Linked DNA regions of Caenorhabditis elegans. The protein of the gene in region 3 interacts with the protein of the main gene of each other region in a pairwise test. Each region holds a gene or a part of one and is shown on either strand. Other genes may lie near its edges.

Region 1 (8,149 bases), 1.9 Mb from region 3:
CTCTACAAACAAGTAACCCAATCAAAGTTTCCGGTTGCATCACATAAAATCATTTTCAGAGGTGTTCGGAATCAGATTCTCAGACCATTCTGCTCAAAAAATCGGTCTAGACAAACGTCGAAACTTGTTCCATTGTCGCACGTTAGTTCAACAATGCCCGTGGAAAAATGAATGACACATATATCATATGTATATTGTTTCTTGACGAAAAAAATGTAACTGATCAAGTGCACTAAATGCTACCTAATATGAATATTTATATATCTAAAAGAACACTGTTTTTTTTTAAATAAAGAGAAAGAAGCTTTGAGTTAGCAAAAAAATTCAATTGATTAATCCTGATTTTTGATTTGATTTACATCGTAATTAATAAAAAGTTAACTGAAGTGGGTGAACACATTTTCATGCCATTGTCAGTTTTTATAACGAGTTACAACCCATTCGACATCAAGCTAAATAGACCAAACGAATTTGTATTTTTTGTTTTTTCTTTGGACACTTGAAAAACTTTTTCTAGTTTTTTTCTGATCTTTTTCAGGGTGGCGCTTACCTAATTATTTTTCTAGCCGTTGAAATTGGTATTGTTTTGTTTATTCTGACTGATCATCAAAAAACCAGTCGTTCGCACGCGCTAAACCTATTGGTCTCTTTTTTATTTCATTTATACACAAAAATAAAATTCGAGAGACGACAGAGAATACAAAACATGAAATATACATATTCGTACCTCTTGGATTTTTTAAGAAATTTTATTACACATTTGGGTTATTCAAAAGTCGGATCGTTCCATCAAATCACGTTAGTCTTGTTGTAGTCGCCCATTTTTGAGAGTCGTTCTGCATTAAAGCCAGTCTGGGCAAAGTTTTTTTGGGAGAACATCCACAAAGAACCAAATTCATAACGCATTCTCTATACTGAGAAGACATTAACAAACAAATGATAAAGTCGATTTGCCGAACTTGCCGAACTTGCCGAGCTCGGCAAATTTCGAAATTTGCCGCGCACACCAAAATTTGACAATGCAATTTTGACCAAAAGTATTGATTTTGTCCCCAAAAATGTAGTGAAAGAACACAAATTTTTTGATGTTATTTTTATGTTTAAGCAGACACACCACCTGGAACTTCAAACACAGCAAAAATATCACATTTTCAAAGTTTGTTACGCACGGCAATTTTGCCGAATAAAATAAAATATATAGACATTTGCAGAGACGCTGAAATAATTTGGTAGTAAGTGCACTTTCACAATTGTTTCAGAAATTTTCTACGATTTTTTTATTTATGGGTTATTGAACAGTCGGTCCAATACATTATGATAGTTTTGTTGTAGCCGTAGCCCATCTCCGGGAGTTATTCTGAGTTGTCGTCAGTCTGGTCAAAGCTTTTTTGGGAGAAAATCCACAAAAAATAAATTTCATAGCGCATTCTCTATATTGAGAGGACATTAACAAACAAATGATAAAATGACTTGAAAAATTCGCATAGAGAATCACGCTGAACAAAAACTCACAGAAACGTATAATTACACTGAAATGATATACTACCAAAATAGTAATTTTCGACTTAACTTACAATATTCCTTGAATGTCATAAAACAAATAAGTCAGAAACGTGCTCACGCCAAGTGGAAACTCGGCAATGAAAAACATTGCCGTGAGGAGTAGAACTAAACGAGTTGTCTTCTGTGATTCGGTCGAGTTCTTCGTAGATGATAGGCTTTGTCTATTTTTATTCACTTTTTTGAGTTCTGACACAAGAAAAAGTGTGAAAATAGGATATACAAAGCATGGAATAATCTGAAAATTAAAATTTGTAATCTTTTAAAAAACTCGAGAAAGAAAAGAAAATTAGTACATTCGTCATAATTGCATTGCTTGTCGTAGCGACTTTAAGAAGAGCCCCATCATTATTTGTAAACGCTTCGACAAAATCCATATAATATGTTACTCTTCCATTTGGAAAGCATAAGCTTTTTCGTATGATTCCCTTAATTGTATATTTCATCAAATTAAACACAGTGATAGGAACGTTAACTAAAACCATTATAGATATTGCATAAAACGCTCCAATAGGGTTAACCAGCCTCATATACTTTTGATTAAGAGGATTTTTCATGACAAGAATTCTAAGTAAAGCTATTGATAAGCAGAGCCAAGTGGAACAACGTCGTGAATAATCTCTCAGAGCTTCCAGCACTAAGTTAAAAAGAACCCATGCATATGAGCCTGATTGGAAACAATGGGTGTATAGAAAAATAATGGATTGAACAATTAGTTGCATTTCATATAATAAAGTGCAAATATCGAAAAATGCAATTGCAGCCATAATGATGTTGACAGATGAGTTTATCATCGGTTTTCTGGTGAGAATTATAAAATGGAATAGGTTTATTGAAAAGCTCACAGCTGCTACTCGAGATTCATTTTCGAATACTGTGTTGTAATAAGCTCTGAAATAAATCTTTTTAAATTTCACCCTTTTTTTGGGTTTTCCGGTTATTCCAAAAAAAAAAAAACGTTTGTCTCTACAACTTTATCTTGAACCAATCAAAGGCGGAATCGTATCTGTGAGTTTTTTTTTGAAAAAGACAGAAAATAGTCTCAATATACCAAACTGTACAGCGATCGAAACGTTAAAATTTTATGATAATTTTCTCTTTGAAATTTGGTAATTTCGGCACATTCCAAAACACAAATGAATATTAAAAACGAATAAAACAAACCCCAATCCATCAGCAATCCGACATAGAAACAGGGCCGTTGATGTTTGAATATTTGGATAAAAAACCTCAATTTGACTACAAAACGACATGTCTTGTTGAGCCATGGCCTTAGACTGAACATTTCATATATGACATGTTCATATATGACATTTCATATATGAACTCATTCAAAATGTTGTCGATGCCAGGTGGTTCAAACAAATTATATTAATTTGAAAATGTAAGACCACTTGATTGAATAAATTGAAATATGACAAGTAAATAGTCGCTTTTTTTTCGAACATCAGTCAGAATAACTGAGACAAGATTGAGTCATACATAGCTACGCTGAGTATTGCTAATTAGCAAAATACCAGTGCTAATTAGCTGTTGGTTTTTGGTTATGATTTTTTTGTTTTCACATATTTGAATCCTATTGCGTATTTTATTTGATGTTATTGTCATACATTTGATAACTGTGTGCCATTAAATTTTACAATAGTATATTTTTGTCACAACCATTTTCAGAATTTTTTCCAGAAATATACGGTAATCGGAGTACGCGCTTTGCCACGTAGAAATTTGATTTTAAAACTTTCAAAATGAAAAACAATTTTAATTAATATTAAAGAAAACATTGAGAGACGTCAATGTCTATACTTTTTCAAAAAAAAACACTTCCTTCTAGTAACCTTACAATAACATGTGCTCTAGTTTTCTCGCTGGCGCTACTCTACCTTTAAAAAATATACCCACAGACGAACAGTGCATACTTCAAAGCACAATAATCACGACTAAAATTGTGCAGGTTATTAATATTTGAATCACAATTCTTTTGCGCGTATTGAGGCCATTATTAACGCAAACTAGGCAGATTCCAAACGAATGCCAGACGATTTTCCGTTTACTCAAGTGTTTTAAAAGTTTCGATGCACATGCACCAGTTGAACGGAAGTTTTTTACCAACGCTTTGGAATGTTTGCTCGGCGGAAAGAGGGCGGAAAATGAAAAAGAGTTAGAAATCAGTATATAAAAGTGAGTCTGCAAGATAGTTTAACCATCCGATTTCCTCTGTTCGAATCATTACTAAAATGCGCTTTACTTCACTTGCCATTGCCTTCCTTGCATGTGCCCTTGTGGTATCTGGAAGTGTAATCCGTGAAAAGAGACAGTGTGGATGTGCTCAGCCACAGCAGAGCCAATGCTCGTGCCAACAAGTTCAACAGACTCAGTCATGCTCGTGCCAATCTGCTCCAGTTCAACAACAATCCCCATCCTGCTCATGCGCTCAGCCACAACAAACTCAACAAGTTCAGGTACAGTTCATTAACATATTCGCAAACCATTAAATCAAAAATTTTAGGTTCAATCTACTCAATGCGCCCCAGCTTGCCAACAGAGCTGCCAACAGCAATGCCAGGCTTCTCCATCAGTGTCCCAGTGCCAGCCACAATGTCAGCAACAGTGCCAGGCTCAATGCACTCCAATGTACAACCCACCAACCACTACTACCACCACCCAAGCTCCAGTTGTCCAATACCAACAGTGCCAACCAGTATGCCAACAGCAATGTCAATCTACCTGTGTTCAACAACAACAACCAGCAGCTCAATGTCAGCCACAATGCCAACAACAATGCAATGTTGCCTGTGATTCCCCATCCACCACCACCCAGGCCCCACAAGTGATTCAAATTCAACTTGAGATCCAACAAGCTCAAGCTCAATGCCAACCACAGTGCCAGCAACAATGCCAGTCCTCATGTGTCCAGCAACAACAGCCATCGACCCAATGTGAGCCAGCCTGCAACACTCAATGTTCTGATATCTGCCAACAAACTGCTCAGGCTACCCAACAAGTCTACAACCAGAACATGAACCAGAACACCAACACCCAAATGTACAACCCATACAATACCAACACCAACCAGAACGCTAACTGCGCTCCAGCTTGCCAACCAGCCTGCGACAACTCCTGCACATCCCAACAGGCCCAGCCAGTGTACCAACAAGCCCAGCCAACTTACCAAGTCCAGCAAACCACTGCCGCTCCAATGTACGATCCATACAACAACCAAGGATCTGCCAACTGCGCTCCAGCTTGCCAACCAGCTTGTGACAACTCCTGCACATCCCAGCAGACTCAACCAATGTACCAACCATACGACACCACCACTGAAGCTCCAGCTCAAGTCATCCAGATTGTTCTCCAGACTTCTGTTGCTCAATCATCCCAATGTGCTCCACAATGCGAACAGTCCTGCCAACAGCAATGTGTTCAGCAACAACAGCCAGCTGCTCAGTGCCAAACTGCCTGCCAATCATCATGCTCTAACTCCTGCCAAACTGCTCAACCAGCAACTACTGCCTGCCAACAGAGCCCACAACAGAGCTCCTGCTCCTGCCAAGCTAACTACTCTCCATGCGGAAATGGACAATGCTGCCGCAGAAAGTAAGAAAGACCGAATCGATCGATCGAAGATTTATGGGTATCAATAGTCCATTGTTGCTCAAAATCTTTTTTGTATATTTCGAACACCATTTTTTCTTTGACTATATGATAAATAAATCATTTTCAATTATTCTACAGTATACAATAATAGACAAAAAAATGTTGATAGACCTGTACCAATCTAATTCGAATGTTTTGTTCTTCAAATTAATGATATACATACTTTACACGTAATCGAATAAACAGAAATCAGAAAACGTGATGATTAATCTATTGTTCTCTAGTTTTGATCAGTTGGAGTGGGCGCAGAAACAGCTCGTAAGCGTGAAGAGCCTCTTTTCGGGTGGGAAAATGATCTTTGCACAATTGCCGACGGGGCAAACAAATATTACGAATAGATCAAAAAGTTACGCCGATCAGCTGGAGAGATATGGTGAACACTTTCACGATACTATTTTTAAAACGAGTTTAATTCGTTCATACAAGCTTATACGAGTTTACTGTTGAAAGGTTCTACAGTAATCAGAGAAATTTCGAGTTTAACAAATAATGAGACTGACAAATATCTTCTGAAACAGTTTCTAGCAGATACAACTAAACATTTTTTGTGTCATATTCATCGAACGCCCTATCAACCTGATAAACATATTAATCTTCCGGGAAATAATTTGATAGCGTATTTATTAAAGTTGCATTACGTTTAAACTTTCCAAATTTCAAATTTCAGAAATTGCATACAAATAAGAACAAGAGAGGATAACAAATTATGTTCAACCAAATTAAAATGAGAAACTAAAATTTCAAAATAATTTAAGTATTTTTCAAATCGAAAATTATTTTTCTAGAACACGTATTTTCTCAAATTTGGCAAATAACACATTTGTTGTCTACATTCTTCCCAAGCTGTCAAATTGCAGCACGATATAACAAGTTGTCAGTTAGAAACTAAACGCTCACTTGTCTCAACTTCATAACCAGTCATTTGTAAATTTTAAATAAAAAGAGGTATAGTTCGCCACCGATAGAATAAAAAAAGATACAATAATTTCAAAATTTCCATAGCAGTATAGATTTGAAGGAAGGCCGCAAGCTGAATAAAACCTAAAATAAAATATTTCCGAAACTTTAAGAAAACAAAACAGCGTTAAAAATTCACTTCAGATAAACGATTCCGTAACATAATGTAGATCAAGGAACATCACATTCCAAAATTAAAGTTTCCAATTTGCAACATACCAGTTTTCACCTTTTTCCTCGACACACGTTTGTTTGATTAGAGAGTTTATTCTAATGCTCACCGCACCTTTTTTTACACGAACACTTTTTTATAAGGCAAACAGTTTGGCCGGAAAGAGAATGAGAGACACATAGACGAAAAGTGAACGGAAGAGCGGAAATCAAGAAGTTTCAGGTCTGGTACAGAGGGTGGGGGTATGGGAAAGTAGTATAAAAGAGAAGAACAGAGCTTCATTATCATCCGATTTTCTCGGTTCGAATCATTACTAAAATGCGCTTTACTTCACTTGCCATTGCCTTCCTTGCATGTGCCCTTGCGGTATCTGGAAGTGCGATCCGTGAAAAGAGACAGTGTGGATGTGCTCAGCCACAGCAGAGCCAATGCTCGTGCCAACAAGTTCAACAGACTCAGTCATGCTCGTGCCAATCTGCTCCAGTTCAACAACAATCCCCATCCTGCTCATGCGCTCAGCCACAACAAACTCAACAAGTTCAGGTACCTTTTATGCATTTATTTCAAACACTACTAAATTAATGATTTTAGGTTCAATCTACTCAATGCGCCCCAGCTTGCCAACAGAGCTGCCAACAGCAATGCCAGGCTTCTCCATCCGTGTCCCAGTGCCAGCCACAATGTCAGCAACAGTGCCAGGCTCAATGCACTCCAATGTACAACCCACCAACCACTACTACCACCACCCAAGCTCCAGTTGTCCAATACCAACAGTGCCAACCAGTATGCCAACAGCAATGTCAATCTACCTGTGTTCAACAACAACAACCAGCAGCTCAATGTCAGCCACAATGCCAACAACAATGCAATGTTGCCTGTGATTCCCCATCCACTACCACCCAGGCACCACAAGTGATCCAAATCCAACTCGAGATCCAACAAGCTCAAGCTCAATGCCAACCACAGTGCCAGCAACAATGCCAATCTTCATGTGTCCAGCAACAGCAACAGTCCAACCAGTGCGAGCCAGCTTGCAACACTCAATGCTCTGATATCTGCCAACAAACTGCTCAGGCTACCCAACAAGTCTACAACCAGAACATGAACCAGAACACCAACACCCAAATGTACAACCCATACAATACCAACACCAGCCAGAACGCTAACTGCGCTCCAGCTTGCCAACCAGCCTGTGACAACTCCTGCACTTCCCAGCAGACTCAACCAATGTACCAACAATACGACACCACCACTGAAGCTCCAGCTCAAGTCATCCAGATTGTTCTCCAGACTTCTGTTGCTCAATCATCCCAATGTGCTCCACAATGCGAACAGTCCTGCCAACAGCAATGTGTTCAACAACAACAGCCAGCTGCCCAGTGCCAAACTGCCTGCCAATCATCATGCTCTAACTCCTGCCAAACTGCTCAACCAGCAACTACTGCCTGCCAACAGAGCCCACAACAGAGCTCCTGCTCCTGCCAAGCTAACTACTCTCCATGCGGAAATGGACAATGCTGCCGCAGAAAGTAATTTAATTGTTCCTGATTCTTGATTTTTGTATATACCGAAACAATTCAGTTTCAATAAACGCATAACTTTTTAAAAAGTGTCTTCCAGAATCTCAAAGTTTTCACTGTATAATGAAAAGTGGTTCACAAACTAGCATAATCATTACTATCGGAAACAGTGAAATATTATTAAAGTGAATGCCTGAAATAATAATGTAACGAGTATTGCATATCAAGATACCAGATTGTCTAAAAAAGTAAAACTAATTTTAATGAAAATGGAAAACATTTTTGA
Region 2 (7,397 bases), on a different chromosome or scaffold from region 3:
TCACCCTCTCCTCAAATTGCGTTCCGTTGTTGTCTCCAAACATACCAAACCAACACAAAAAACCAACGACGACAAGTTTCAACAAAAAATGCAACCGGAAACTCTGCTCTCTCTCCCTAAATTTCTCAACTTCTTATTTCAAAAGAACGCCCTTTTTTACTAGTACGATTCAGTGGTTTTTTATTCGGATTTCGAAAACTGATACTTTCTTTCCGATTTTTCGTATTTTCTCCTTTTCCCGCCCTCTCCATTTTCCAATGTTTTATAGCCAGGCAAACATGTTTTATTGAATTTTCCCTATGCATGCTATTTTTTCTATTTGCTTTGATTGTATGTAGCTTCAAGTTGAAATATTATTTTTTCTACCAACTTCTCGTTTTTTCCAGCATATTTCAATGCCAGATTTGGAAATCAACGGAGTTGAAATGGAAAATGGTGTTGGAAGATCAGACAGTTTGAAAGCTGAAGAAGCAAATGCTCTGCGAGAATGGGATCCTAAGCATTTACTAAAAGCCCTCTACGAAATATCATATGAACCACGAGTTGAAACAAAAAGAAATCGATTTGTGACAATGGAAGGACATGTAGAGGTAAGCATTCGTAAATAAAGAAATTACCTTTGCTGTAGTTTATTTTGACCCGCTTTCTCAAGGAGTCTCCAAAAATTGTATGTAATACTCAGTAAATGCTCCTTTGCACGGAAATCTTTAGTAAAAGGCGAAAGATTTTCACGGTTAAATGCAGAGGAACCAGAGTTGATTGTGCACCTCTAAATTGGAACGTGATGAACTCCGTGTACGGACATCTGGCGGGTTTCGCTCACCACGTTGGGGAACGTAGTGGGCGGAGTTTTTGCTTGGAAATTTTCAGGCCTAGAAAAAACAAAAACAGTGATCACATTCCAGAAACCAAAACTCCTACGTCCAAAAGCTATTCAAAAAATATAAAATAGTTTCTATTCATAATAAAAAATAACAATTTTAATTATAATCTCAACTGATTGAGAAATTGGAAAAAACTATATTTTGAGCTATTTCATTCCAGGTCCCAGCCGACGAGGTCACAAAATCAGACGGTCTAGATAATGAAGGATGGATGAAGCAGTACATTCGAATGAAAGAAGGACGTCTTCAAATCTTTGCATCTCACTACGCAGGAGAAGCTCCAGCTCAAGAACTTGTGCTCTCTGGAGCAGATGTAGATGCCAATAAGGATGAGAGAACTTTGACTATTCATGGAGGAAGGGAACATGTTAAATACTATTGCAGGTTGGTAAATTTATGCTTAAAAGTTTCACATTTTATAAAAACCTAATTGTTTTTAATTTTTCCAATAATTTATTAAAATTTCAGAGTTCCATCAGCAGTATTCGACAAATGGCGTCAATCATTCCTATCACACTGTGCATCTTCTCTAATTGATGCCTATGTTAAACCAATTCCAAGAGCATTCCAACATTTAACTGAAAGAATTTTGATTCTTGAACTTGGTTCATGCTCAATCAGAGCCGGTGTTCTTACAACAGAACCATCACTTCCACAATCATTCTTCCCAGCCATAGCCGTCCGAACTGATGATGGAAAGATTTTCGTTGGAGAAGACGCTTATAGGCCGGAAATTAGACATAATGGTGATTTTGTTCGACCAATCTCTGCTACAGATCCATCAGTGGAAAGATATTCAATTGATAAAGATGTTCTGAAAGCAGTTATTGGAAAAGTAACAAAGGAATTGAAAGTTGAGCCATGGAAATATAAAGTTTTACTTTCAATCCCTCAAAATATCCCAACTGTTTTGATTGGAGAATTACTCCAGATTTGTCTTGAAGATATCAAATTTCAAGTGAGTTATCGCTGAGAAAACTTTTTTGTCTAAAAAATAAACTTTCAGTCGGCAGGAATCACTCGTCAGCCATCACTGATTCTGTATGCTTATGATGTTACAACTGGAGTTGTTGTCGATATTGGAGAAAGAGTTAATATTGTTCCAGTAATTGATGGATATGTCGTCGAATCGGCCATTTGTTCAATTCCATATGGATCACAGCAAATGGGAGATTCGTTAAGAGCATCATTAAGTGCTCATAACAAAGGATTATACGCTTTTCAAAGTCCTGTGGAGAAGCTTATTTTAAGATTTGCACTGGAACAGGTAAAATTTAATCGTATTAATTTTCAAAAAAATACTTGAAGTTTAGACTACCTACGTACCAGAGGATTATCAAAAAGAAGAAAAATCAGAAAATAAAGAAACTAGAATCTCATTAGATGCTTTCACACCATCACCTGGAATGCAGACCCGATTCGATATTGATAACTCCAGATTTTTATGTACGGAAGGACTATTCAAGCCAAAGAAATGGGGTCTTGACACGAAAGGTCTCCACCAATTGATCCACGAGGCAATTCTTCAGTGTCCAATTGATAGTCGTCGAACACTGTATAGGTAAGAATCGTTAGTTTTCTAAAATTTATGACCAAAATTATGCTTTCAGAAATATTTATTTGGCTGGAGGAGCATCTCTTATGCCAGGAATTGCTGAAAAACTCGAACAAGAATTATCTACAGTAGTTCCAAACACAATTCACACTCAAGTTAACATCAGTCCATGGCGGTATAACGCAGCATATCTTGGAGCCCAAGTAAGCCCACCAACTAAAAAAAAACCAACTAATAGAACAACGGTAAAATTTTAAAATTTCAGATCGTCGCATCAGCCTCCACATTTGAAGACTCCTGCATTTCTCTTCAACAGCTTCCAAAGTTCCTTGCACAGCTCCAGTCATCGTCTTTCTGAAGCTTCGACCTGAAAAATAATGATTTCGTTAATTTCTTATGATTTCACTGACCAACCTGAAAATTCCGCTTTAGAGGCTCATTTTCCTGCTTTTTCGAGAGTTTTCTTTAGACCTTCGTGTACTATTCGCTTTTGTACAATTATTTTCCTTTTGTTTTATCGATTTTATTTGTCCGAGAGCTCTTTTTTACATATTTTTGTGATACTGTTGTCGTAATGTTTTCCCCGCAGTTACTTTCGTTAAAAGTTATGTCAGACAGTTGAGTCGGCTAGCAATTTTAGCTAGACAAATTTATTGCATCATAAACATTTATTTATAAAGTTTTTTTGTTTTTTTTTCAAATCAATTGAAGAATTCTACACAAAAACAGATATGATTGGAATTTTATTTTTTTACAGCGAAATATTGACTAAGTAATTTGATAATTTCAACAAAAAATGCAGATAATTTTTGTCGAATTTCTATAAATCTTTAATGTAACAAAAAGAGCACGAAAATCATGTGAAATAAAACACTTTTTTAAAGGGACATGGCATTTCACGAGTGAAGGGTCTCGCCGCGATCTCTCATCTGCAGCAGCCGCCGCTCTCTGTTTACCACTGTGAATTTTTAGGCCCGATTTTCTTTTTCTATTTTTTCTTCAATGTTTCTGCTTTTTGTTAAATTTTCTCGAAAAAATCACTGAAAAATAGAAGAAAATCAATGTTTTAATCACTTTATTGTGTTTTGAAAAATTTAATGTTCGAATATTTTTGTTTCGAGAAGGAAACTCTTTCATTTATCGTATTATGTATTTTTAATTCATTTTTGTTAAATGTGAAACGTTTTCAGCATGGGTATCTCGCGCGACTCTTGGCATAAGCGCTACAAGACCGGAGCCACTCAACCGGTCCCTCACAAGAAGAGGAAGTTCGAGCTCGGACGTCCAGCTGCCAACACCAAGGTAAGAGCTGTTTAATTTTTATTTTATTTACCAGGGATTTGGTTGAATCAGTAAAATTAAATTTAAAAAAGATGATCGCGAAATTACTCTCAGATTGGAGCCCACCGCGTTCGTCTCGTTCGCACTCGTGGAGGAAACGAAAAGTACAGAGCTCTTCGCCTCGACTCCGGAAACTTCTCCTGGGCCTCTGAGCGTAAGTTTCGTTATTATACTTTATAAACCGTTCATATTCTGATTTTTCAGAGACTACTCGCAAGACCCGTATCGTTGATACCATGTACAACGCTACAAACAACGAGTTGGTCCGTACCAAGACTCTTGTCAAAGGAGCCATCATCAGCGTTGATGCTGCTCCATTCCGTCAGTGGTATGAGGCTCACTATGCTCTCCCACTTGCCAGAAAGAAGAACGCCAAGCTTTCCGAGGAAGACAACGCCATCCTCAACAAGAAGAGATCCCACCACACCATGAAAAAGTACACCGAGCGTCAAAAGACTGCTGCTGTTGATGCACTCCTCATCGAGCAATTCAACACTGGACGTCTTCTCGGTAAGAAAATTCAGAAATTTCTTCAAGTTTAATCATTATTTTTCAGCTCGCATCTCTTCTTCCCCAGGACAAGTCGGACAAGCCAACGGATACATCCTCGAAGGAAAGGAACTTGATTTCTACCTTCGCAAGATTCGTGCCAAGAAGGCCAAGTAAATGCCTTTTGTGGTTGTTTTCTTGTTTTTGTTACATAAAACATAAACGAATTGTTACTAGAAATTTGTTAATAGCACATTTGGAATAAGGTTACAACTGCAGGGATTTTATGCATTATTGTTGGGCGAAGGATATACAATGGTGATTCTATTATTAAAGATGTTCCTGACAGACAGCCCATGGGTCTAAAGGAATTTCAGTTCGGTCTGCAAAGGATTGCTTTTTAATAGAGATGTTCTCGGGAAGGCTGAAGTAGTAGTGATCAGAGATGGGCTGGCCAGTATGACATGAACATTTTTAATACATCGAGAAGAGTTTCGTTCTGGATTAGTATGAGCTCATAATGCACAGTTTCAGAAGCGCCTTAAGTTATAGGTACAAAAGCAGTTTGAAAAGTTCGTGGTGTTTTAAAGTCTTGTTAATTCGAATCTGGCAATGTCGAGAAGGAAACTAAACGTGGATGCCAAAATATGATTTTTAAAAGTAAAAAGCTTTTCTCATTTATATTCCGACTCATTCTGACTTCGTTGAAATAATGGAGGAAATAAAAGCAGATCAGGATAGACGTGGAAAAATGAGATTAAGATCTTACTGTACTTTTTAAAGGCGCACGCAAATTTTCAAAAAAGTTTGTTTCGTTTCAAGACCGAGGATTCTTCGTTTGTTCCATGAAAATCAAATGTTAAATTTCAAAATTCGGTTCCTAGATTTCAAAAAAAATGAAGAAAAATCAAAAGAGTTCGATTTTTGGAAAGTTATGACGTCATAACTTTCCAAAAAATCATATATGACTAAAAATTGTAATTTTTTCAACATAAAATTAACCAAAAATACGTATTGTTTTCTAGATTTTCGTTTTAGTTTTTTTTGAATCACCTCTAAAAATTATAAGATACCGTATTTCCTCTATAAGTAAGGCATGCAACACTAATTTTCGGACACCTAATTTGATGCAAAACTAATGGAGGAGCAAAACTAATTTTTGAACAGGTTTTTTCTCATGTTTTCCATTAAATTATGGCATAATATCATCAATTTCAATAACAACTTATGAACCAAAATGGACGAATTTTACGACTCATACGCAAACATTGTCCGAGTTGTACTCATATTTTGCCAATTTTGACTTATTATACCAAGTCTGTAAAAGTTTTCCTAATTTTTAGAACGATTTTGTAATGCAAATTTTGAATTCCTAAAAATAGGGAACAAATGAATGGGAGCAAAACTATTAGAGGTGCGAATCTGATAGAGGATGCAAAACTAATTTTCGATTAGTGATTTTAGATGCAAAACTAATGGAGGTGCCTAACTAATAGAGGAAATACGGTAATAAAAAGTAAAGATGCTTCCAAGGATTACTCATACCACAACCAGTTTCCAGATCTTATGTATGCATCAATTTCAATAGGAAAATGAATAAAGTAATGATGTGCGACAAAATTTACCAAAGGTGTCAGATAACCTTGAATGTGAACAATGAAAGTTCACTTGTGATTAGCATTTTCCAAATCATTTCAGATTCTCAATTTCCAGTAAATTTCAATTGTCTGAAAATTAAAAAGTTTAACTTCAACAGAAATCGTAAAAGAAAAAGAAAAAGCAATCGGATTCACCTACTCGTCTCCTATAATTAATAGGTGACGTAACACGATTACTCATCATCCAATTCAAAAAAGGAGGGAGAAGCTGTGTGAAACCAGTTCTAGAGGGTCAAATTCTCGACAGCAATGAGGTAATGGAGGCGGTGCCAAAAGATGTCAGGGTCAAAATGGCAAAAAGGTATATAAGGTATTGATGATGATCAAAAGAAAATGCCATCTTCTTTTCTTTGTTTCAATTCAAAATCTTATTGATGAGATGAGGACAGATGCCGATCACAAACCCTTTTTCATTTTATTTTTCAAACCACTTGTTTTCTGGAACCAAGTGATCTTATTACCTAGACGCGAAGGTCTCGGCACGACACATTTTTATGAAATGCAAAAGTGTGTGTGTGCGCCTTTAGAGAGTACCGTAAATTCAAACTTTCATATCAGTGGAATTTTCGTAGCTTTTATCAATATTTGGTATAATTTATGTACGCGTTTGTATTGTTGTTTTCGAATTACAAAATTAAAACACACCTTTTTTTCAGAAAACTTCGCAGAAAATTTGAAATTACAGCATCCGAGACCGGGTACTATAATTTCGGCGCAAAGCTTCGCGTCTGGGTAATATTTAAATCCAAAATCCCTCAATTCGGAAAATTTTCTTTTTTTTAATCAAAAGTTTTTATTTTCCAGATGCTTCTGCCCATTTCAATTCTCTTTTCAATCATCCCTATAGCATCTTCAACATTCGGAGGATGTTGTTCAATGGGACCACCACCATGTCCTCCACCTCCACCACCAATGTGTGCACCTCCACCTCTTCCGTGCCCTCCACCTCCAATCTGCCCACCTCAATTCTGTCCTCCACCACCGATGTGTCCTCCACCACCACCTCCACCACCACCGCCGATGTGCCCACCGCCACCACCACCGATGCCATCATATTCCCCATGTCAATCATATGCTCCAGCTCCGGTATTCAATCAATATGCCATGCAACCAGCCAACGATTGTTGCTGCAGATGTGGAAGCCCATGTAGATTCATGGCTAGACATAGAACTCATGGATCAAAGGTACGTTTCTTTGAGATTTCATCTAGACTTTGGGAATAATTGTTTTTTGTTTAGCTGTTCACCACTGAGGATCCAGAGGAAGATCCAACCTGCAACAGCAAGAAACTCAGAAGAGTTATGGAGAGGGTAATATTATAAATTTCTGGTTTAAACTCTTAACTTTATATTTACAGAACATGAACGGTGACCCATCGATCTCAAAGCGTGCCATCCAAAAGGCTGTCGAGGAGAAGATGTTCGGAAAATTCAATGTTATCTGCGCAAGAGGAGACTTCTCCTACGTAG
Region 3 (7,869 bases):
CTTAGTTCTTAGTATCTTCTTACAATGAACATGTTTCAGGTCCTCCACTCCTACAACTCTGGTTACATATTCTTCACCTCAAGCCGCCCCCTGAACGCTTCAAATGAAGTCATGAAGATCATGCTGGTGCTGTACACCGCCATGTACTCTACCACGATCTCCCTTCTGGCCGTTCAATTTCTCTACCGATACTTTGCGATTTTTCACGAGTACTACCTGAAGTACTTCAAAGGCTGGTACTTCCTAATTTGGATCGTCTACGCTGGATGGTTCGGATGTCAGTATGCGATTGGGTTTCTGGTGTTCAACGCGGTGGATGAGTACTCGGAAGAGTACATGCGACAAGAAATGCATGACGTGTACGGGCTCAATGTAGCGGAAGTTCCATGTGTGATTCATGTGATCCATGTGAGTCATTTTTTAGAACACTTCGTAAATAACTAGTGGTACAAAATAGCTTACTTACACGGCTCTGCGCTTTTTTGATATAAATTTCTGAAATTTCCAGCAATCCATTCCCAACTCAACCCATTCCGTTATTCGCTGGCGAAACGTCTTTTGCACATTCAACGTCACATTCATAATGGTTGTTCAGTACGGAATTATGATATTCTGTGGATATCAGCTGTATAACGAGATGGAGGAGAAACTGAGCATGCTGTCAAAACAGATGAGAAGACTTCATCGACAAATATTCAAGACTCTCATGTTACAGGTAACTTTATTAGAAAATTATAAGAAATCTAGGTATTTAAACTATTAAATCAGATAACCACGCCAACAATTGTCCTGTTCTCTCCCATCGTTTTTGTGATCTACCTTCCGTGGCTCGATTTGGAGCTCAGTGTTCCCACAGGAGTCTTCTTGTCTGGATTCACATTGTATCCAGCGCTTGATGCATTCATCCTGATGTACGTCGTCACAGACTATCGGCGAGCGTTCAAAAGTGAGTGAAAATGGAAAAATTTGTCTAGAAAATATTTTCAGCTGCGTTCCAAATCTACAAACCATCCGGAGCGTCGTCACAGCAATAATTCGTTCAAAAACAAAAGATTGCAGTTTTGTTACGTGATGTGGAATGTGCTCTGAATCATTTGTAGATGTAGTCAGAAAAAAGTAAAACAGAGATTTCTGAACTATTTTGTGCCGAAAGATTTCACGCTTCTAAAATTTACTTGTAGTTTTTAATAAACTTATTTGTAAGAAAATCAGAATGTTTTCCGAACTGCTGTTTGAAAAATTTTGTTCTAATGACGTCCCACAAGAATGATTTCTCAGCACAGCGTTTTGGCAGAAAAGGAAAGTTTGAGGTTCGTACATCGATGTCTGCGCCAGTATTGGTAGGCCTACCTTTGAAGAAACTCATGCCTGTCTCCGGCCGTCTGCAAAAAATTCCATAAACAAGTTAGCAATACAAAACCCAGAAGATGTCGGGTGCTGCGGAACCTAGAAAATGTCGGGTATTGCCTAACCCAAGTAATGTCGGGCCTAGCTGAACCCATGAAGTGCCGGGCGCTGGTGAGCCCAGAAATAATTTCAAATTTTCAGACAATTTGGCGGCAAGCAGGTCTATGTGTACCTGAGCCTGCCTACTAGTTTGCCTGTCGGCCTATCGAAAATTCCAAACTTGTTTGAATTAAAATTTTGAAGCCCGAGTATTGTAAAAAAAAGTAACCATATTGGGGAAACTTTTAAAAAGTTAAATAAGTACGATACTTTTGCTCTCACGACAAACACATCAGCAGGTTGACTCATTAGGCTTTTTTGTATTTTCATCTTGATTCTGGTCTTCCAAGCGTTTTACCAATCCTACATTATTACTCATTTAGACTTTTTGAACCAATCTAAGTCCCGAGCACATTACCTAAATGATTGTTAATCCTATTGCATATCTGCGTAGGGCTCGAAAACAAATACAATTAGTATTCCTTCACACTTTTTCTGATTCAGATACAATCTGCTTTATAAATTATTAACACAATCTGAATATTCACAATTTCAGAAAGAAATTCAGACGGACTATGTATATCCACTGGTCTCACCATTACCTTCCAAAATTGTTTGGAATTTTGTCATTCGTGTGTAATCCAATTTTCATTTGCTTGATAGCCACCGAAAAGAAGGCTTCGATCGGGAAGTATCGATATCTTTTGATAGGGTTTGCAATTTTTGATATGGCTTACTCAACTGTAGAGCTAATCGTTCCCGTAGCAATTCATGGTACTGGGGCAGCTTTTGTGATTTACCTAGCTGACGGACCATTTTTTGGGGTGAGTTTGAAAGCTCTACACACCAAATGATTGAACTTCAGACTGGGAAGCTTGGCCAACTAGCTGTCTCAATTCGATGTGGGTGTATTTCTCTTTCATATGGAATCCTTGTCATTCACTTTATCTATCGGTATCTTGTGCTATTTAAGTGAGTTTTATTTTTATTTTTCACGTAAATCCGAAAATTTAAAAATTATAGCACCCGAATAATCGATCGACTTCTCCGGCCGTCCGGGCTATTTGGTCTCTTTGTATTTTTTGTTTTTCACGGAATAGCTTGGAGTTCTGTCTGCGAGATGTGTCTCTATGGAGATCAAGAAGTGTTCGACTACATCTATGACGCTTTTCAAAAAGATTACCATGTGGATTCACATGATTTATCCATGCTAATGGCATTGTTTTTCGTGAGGCTCGAAAAGAGCAAAGAACCAACACTAACCCCTTAAAATTTTAGGATGCAAGTCCCGAGATCAAAAGAAGAAGCTGGATTGGAATTCTGCTGCTGACTGGAATTTCGATATATGCAATTTCTCTATACGTTATTCTTGGATGGAAGATTATGAAAAAGCTGGCGGATAATCCAGGGGTTTCTGCAACGACTCAGAAATTGCATAGACAGTTATTCAAAGCCCTTGCAGTTCAGGTATACATGTTTTTAAAGAGTTCAGAAAAAAATTGTTTAACTAAACATTTTCAGACTTTCATCCCGATCTGCATCAGCTTCTCCCCTTGCATGATGGCCTGGTACGGTCCTGTAATCGGATTGGATCTCGGAATGTGGAACAATTATTTGGGCGTCATTGCACTGTCAGCGTTCCCTGTTCTAGATCCACTTGCTATCATTTTCCTCCTACCCAACTACCGGAACAAGCTTTTTCGCACTGTGAAAATGCCAATCAAATACTTTTATTCTGGAACATCGACTGTCCGACCCAACGTGGATAATTCAGCTCAAGTTTATTGAAAGTTTGAGGAAAAGTGTTGTCCAAGTTGTTATAAAATTTCTTATTTTTTTCCATAAATATTTTTCGCAACGTTCTTTTTTAATCAATGTGAAAGAGTTTTATTTGCATTTCTCGAAATACATGTTTGCTTTATAGATTTTTTCAATAGCCTGCGGACATTTTCAACGTGTCCCTCTTTTCTTACCAAGTTTGCAGACAGCTTACACTTTCTTCGTTTTTTTTTGGTTTTTAAAAACAAATTATTCTCAATTTAGTACTGTAACTTTTTGAACAACTTAGCACTTTTATAACAATGTCGTTAAGTTTGAGTTGGGATGATAGTTCTAGAAAATTATTTTGTCAAGTTTGGAGAATTCTTGTCGATGGGATTATTTTTGATCAATTACAGGAAAAAACCGTATAGAAATTTAAAATCAACACATAAACCTTACTAATTTACAGTTCACAATCGCGTCACACCCCTAACCCGATTATATTTTCGGTTTTTATTGCCGAAAATACAACAACACATGTATGAATTCGTATAGTTGCCCTCTATTATAATATTTTTGCATTTATGTTTTCCCAAATTCTCAAAAGTTTTATTTTTTCAAATTTACCGGAATCATAAAATTTACGTTTTTCTAATTTGGTTTTTCTAATTTATAGACCACTTCGATGACACTCAAGCTCACATACTTTGACATTCGTGGGCTCGCGGAGCCCATTCGGCTCTTGCTCAATGACCAGGAAATCCCATTTGAAGATAACCGTATCAGCCGAGAAGAGTGGGCCGAAATGAAGTCAACCATGGTGATTCATAATTTTTGAAACTATAAAAGTAGAATTTTCCAGATTTTCGCTCAATTGCCGTGTCTTCATATCGGAACTGAAACGATTGTCCAGTCAGCAGCGATTCTTCGTCATCTTGGACGGATTTATGGTGAGCAATCAGAAAATTTACAGTTTTGAAATAAAAAATTCATTCGAATTGATGAAAAAGAAAAAGCCTGTCAAATTGCTTATTAATTGTTTTGATAAATGTTTTGTTTTGAAAAAATCGTTTTTTTTGAGTGAAAATTTTTTTGATTTTCTCAAAATAAAAATTTTCAAAAAAACTTGCAGAATGTATACATCCGAAATCGTATAAAAATTATCTAAAAGTAGTCTTTTGGAGCAATTCTAAACGTCGTCAAATTAGTCAATAAATTGTTTTAAACTTTTGGCTTTATAGTTAGCTCTTCTAGGCTGACTTAATGCGTTTTTGATTACAATTTTTTTTTGATCTCAAAATATCAGTTGGAGAAAATAACGAAAAATATATTAACAATTGTTTTCCCGGCTGTTGAGTTAACATTTTGCAAATCTTATTTAAAATTCAATACAAAAAGAAAAAAAAACAACATCTAAAATTTCTCAGGACTCAATGGCTCCACTGAATCAGAGACCTCATTCATCGATATGTTCTCCGAAGGGCTCCGCGATCTACGCACCAAATATTTCACAATGATCAAGACAGACTACGAAGATGGCAAAGAAGCATACATAACTGAAACTCTTCCCGGGGAGCTACTACGAATTGAGAAGTTGTTCTGCACATTTAACAACGGCGAAAACTTTGTGTCCGGGGACAAGCTGAGCTATGCAGATTATGCTCTATTCGAGCTTCTCGATATTCACCTCATCCTCACACCAACTGCTCTAAATGGCACCCCAGCACTGAAAAGATTTCATGGACGATTTGCAGAGCGGCCCAATATGAGACTGTATTTGAATAAACGGGCCGAACTAAATCCATTCGTCAGTGGAAATGGGAAACAATAAAACTTTCGGATTTTTTTGTGTTAAATTAATTTTGCAATACTAATAAAACTTGTTTCAAATAACTATTGTTTCAAAAAGCAAAACTCAACTGTGAAACCATTTTCAAAAAATGAGCTATCAAAATTTCGAGTACTTAAAAATTAAATTTTTTTAAAGTTTTTTGAATTAACTTATCAAAGTCTATAGGTTTCACGATAACCTACTGCATATAAAACATTGGGTCCTGACACGAAAAACCAATGTAGTAGGAGTAAAACGTTGTTTGAAAATTAATACAGGTGCTGTTTATGAATCAGACCCTGGAGAATACAGATAACACCCACCTCAAGTCTGCTCAATGACGCTATCACACATGGAGGACTTTTTCGACCCTTTTCAGTGTGTTCCTTTGCAAAAACGGAGTTACCATAGCAGACAAATATTCAAGTCACAAAACACATAGTGCCCCAACCCCAAAGGAGTATACTATTTTACGAGAACTCGGCATTTATAAGAAAAACAAGAGGGGAAAACACTTCTACATCTCTTCATCGAGAAGATCCCATTATTTTTCAATACAACTATGATATATATGAACTGGTACCATCAAAATGTTCCCAAAATTTTGGGAGCACTAAGCTTCCTGGTGAACCCAATATTCATATATTTGGTAGTGACCAAAACTAAAACTCAAGTGGGGAGCTACAAGAATCTTTTGATAATGTTCTCGGTCTTTGACATTCTGTATTCAATATCCGAGATTTTAACTCCATTGGTAATTTACCGTAGGTGTGAATATATTTTAATGAATTTGTCTAGGGTGTACAAGGCAACAAGCATGGATTTGTGGTTTTTATATCAGACGGCTTGTTCTTTGAATATCCAGAACTTGGTCAGCACGCAATGTCGAATCGGTGTGGGTTCATTTCCATCAGTTATGCCTTATTGATCATCCATTTTGTCTATCGGTACATGGCCTTGTTTTAGTGAGTCAACTATTTAGGCCTGAAAATATTTGAACAGTGGCTATTTCAGCCCGCACAAGCTTCATCTGTTCTTCCGGCCGATTGGTATACTATTTTTAACATTGCTCATGTTGTTTCACGCTGGCTCTTGGACTATGGTGAAAGCTTCCAGAAAATAAAATAATTAAATGTAATTGCTTCAGATCTGCCAGAATTGCCTTGCGGCCGACGACGAAGTTAGGAAAATAGTGCGCTCGTCGTTCATAGATCAGTACGGAGAAGAGTCCAATGGAGTTCCAATGTTGGCAGCTCTCTATTGGGTATGTCTAAAACTAGATTAAACTCAGAAATTTAAATTTCCTTTTTAGGGTGTCCGTCCAGGTATCCAATTTCGCAGCTGGCTTGGAATCATTCTTCTTACTATTATTTCATGGTACTCAATGGCGGTTTATTTTGTTCTTGGGTATAAAGTAAGTTTGCGAAGTCTAAGCCTCAGCATAAGCTTAAGCCTGAGATTAAGCATAAGTAAAGCCCAAAGTAAAAAAAGTATTTCAGATAATTCACAAAATTCGGTGCATGACTATTAATCGAACGTTGAGTGCAACTAGTTTACGACTTCAGAGGCAGCTTTTTGTGACTTTGGTTGTACAGGTAATTCTTGTAAGATTTACATGTTTCTGTGCTTAATTCGGTTATATTATTGATCAGACCAAAATTTAAAAAAACGAAAAACAAACCTGATAAAACATATAATGTGCTCTAAACACAGACTGATCAATCTCCTTTGAGTGATTAGGTTACTATCGTCTTTGTCTTGTCAAGGGATTTACCCCTATTTTTACATGTATAAGTTGAGTTTTGAAAAACAGAAACAAACCAATATTTCTTCTAATACTTTGGTGACCCCAAAAATTCTTAAATTGATTTTTGTGATAGCATAGTCTAAACAAAGGTTGAAACATAAAAAACTAAAGTAAATGAAAGCTTCAGGTAAATAGATCAACAATGGGATATTCAAATTACTTATTCATTTCTTCTATATTTCAGACCTGCATCCCAATTGTCGCAAGCTTCTTACCAACTGTCATCTCCTGGTACGCACCAATTTTCGGAATTGACATTGGTTGGTGGAACACAAACGTCTCCACAATTGCACTAGCTGCCTTCCCATGCATTGACCCGCTAGCTGTGATAATTTTGGTTCCGAACTACAGAAACACACTACTCAGACGTCCAATTTCAATTGAGCCGGACACTTCAGGAAATATCAATCCGCCTATCAGCAACGTTGTCAGTATGGTTCGCCGGATAACAACCATAGCTGGCACTGCATTTTGAGTTCATTCTGATCTTGTAGTACTGCAATACAATATTTTGTTATTCTCCCAGTAAACGTGTATGATTTCTATGAATTTTCCTGGAAGATATAAAGTTCGGAATTCAAATCAACTGTTATTAGTTCAAGATGGCAACTGTCTTGATCAAATTAACGAGATTATTGAGGTATTAGTGAACGATCAGTTCAGTTCATTTCACGGTGTTCCTGGTTTTGTAGGTTACGCATCCGGTTTGTGATTTCAGCTGCTCCAATTTTACTGGTTTTAGACCGATCTAATTTCTGAACGGTTTGTTTAAATAGAGGTACCAGTAACATGTTTTGTCAGTTAAACCAGTTAGTCTGTTTTTTTTTATTTTCAACTGGTTCTTCATCAAATTTAATAACTTCTTATTTTTTTTGAGAGCGGATTTTTGAAATGCCAAAAAAAAACTTGAAAATTTTTAAAATTTTCTAGGATCATTTTTAGTTTTTACGGATCTTAAAATACAATATTACTATACGAATTTGCTTCCAAAGTTTGGCTGAAATTTTAGTGCTGAGTTTGGCCA

Evidence for each region. Proteins that work in one complex are often made in the same cells at the same time.
Region 1: the proteins of gst-23 (region 3) and abu-7 interact in a two-hybrid assay, tested with the Caenorhabditis elegans proteins (one large-scale study listed by BioGRID).
Region 2: the proteins of gst-23 (region 3) and rps-8 interact in a two-hybrid assay, tested with the Caenorhabditis elegans proteins (one large-scale study listed by BioGRID).

The regions. Positions count from the first base shown.
Region 1 is NC_003283.11:5,160,405-5,168,553, reverse strand, and holds abu-7 (Activated in Blocked Unfolded protein response), read left to right. Parts: upstream 1-3,771; 5' UTR 3,772-3,794; coding exon 3,795-4,019; intron 4,020-4,066; coding exon 4,067-5,158; 3' UTR 5,159-5,284; downstream 5,285-8,149. Other genes in the region: srt-64 (Serpentine Receptor, class T), read left to right, coding at 1-12, 60-171; srw-140 (G-protein coupled receptors family 1 profile domain-containing protein), read right to left, coding at 1,313-1,529, 1,575-1,798, 1,857-2,451, 2,725-2,828; abu-6 (Activated in Blocked Unfolded protein response), read left to right, coding at 6,662-6,886, 6,935-7,876.
Region 2 is NC_003282.8:7,310,093-7,317,489, reverse strand, and holds rps-8 (Small ribosomal subunit protein eS8), read left to right. Parts: upstream 1-3,629; 5' UTR 3,630-3,630; coding exon 3,631-3,741; intron 3,742-3,834; coding exon 3,835-3,934; intron 3,935-3,984; coding exon 3,985-4,290; intron 4,291-4,336; coding exon 4,337-4,446; 3' UTR 4,447-4,532; downstream 4,533-7,397. Other genes in the region: F42C5.9 (PH domain-containing protein), read left to right, coding at 396-590, 1,045-1,268, 1,353-1,842, 1,891-2,151, 2,198-2,445, 2,495-2,642, 2,705-2,797; grl-4 (Ground-like domain-containing protein), read left to right, coding at 6,732-7,112, 7,167-7,238, 7,286-7,397. UniProt on the Caenorhabditis elegans protein: Component of the small ribosomal subunit. The ribosome is a large ribonucleoprotein complex responsible for the synthesis of proteins in the cell. Part of the small subunit (SSU) processome, first precursor of the small eukaryotic ribosomal subunit.
Region 3 is NC_003283.11:3,239,403-3,247,271, forward strand, and holds gst-23 (Glutathione S-transferase), read left to right. Parts: upstream 1-3,881; 5' UTR 3,882-3,892; coding exon 3,893-4,027; intron 4,028-4,069; coding exon 4,070-4,157; intron 4,158-4,634; coding exon 4,635-5,038; 3' UTR 5,039-5,100; downstream 5,101-7,869. Other genes in the region: str-16 (Seven TM Receptor), read left to right, coding at 40-408, 509-715, 769-946, 988-1,034; srj-11 (Serpentine Receptor, class J), read left to right, coding at 2,022-2,270, 2,312-2,418, 2,470-2,674, 2,725-2,913, 2,968-3,234; srj-7 (Serpentine Receptor, class J), read left to right, coding at 5,601-5,792, 5,837-6,003, 6,053-6,140, 6,186-6,302, 6,351-6,452, 6,538-6,633, 7,030-7,320.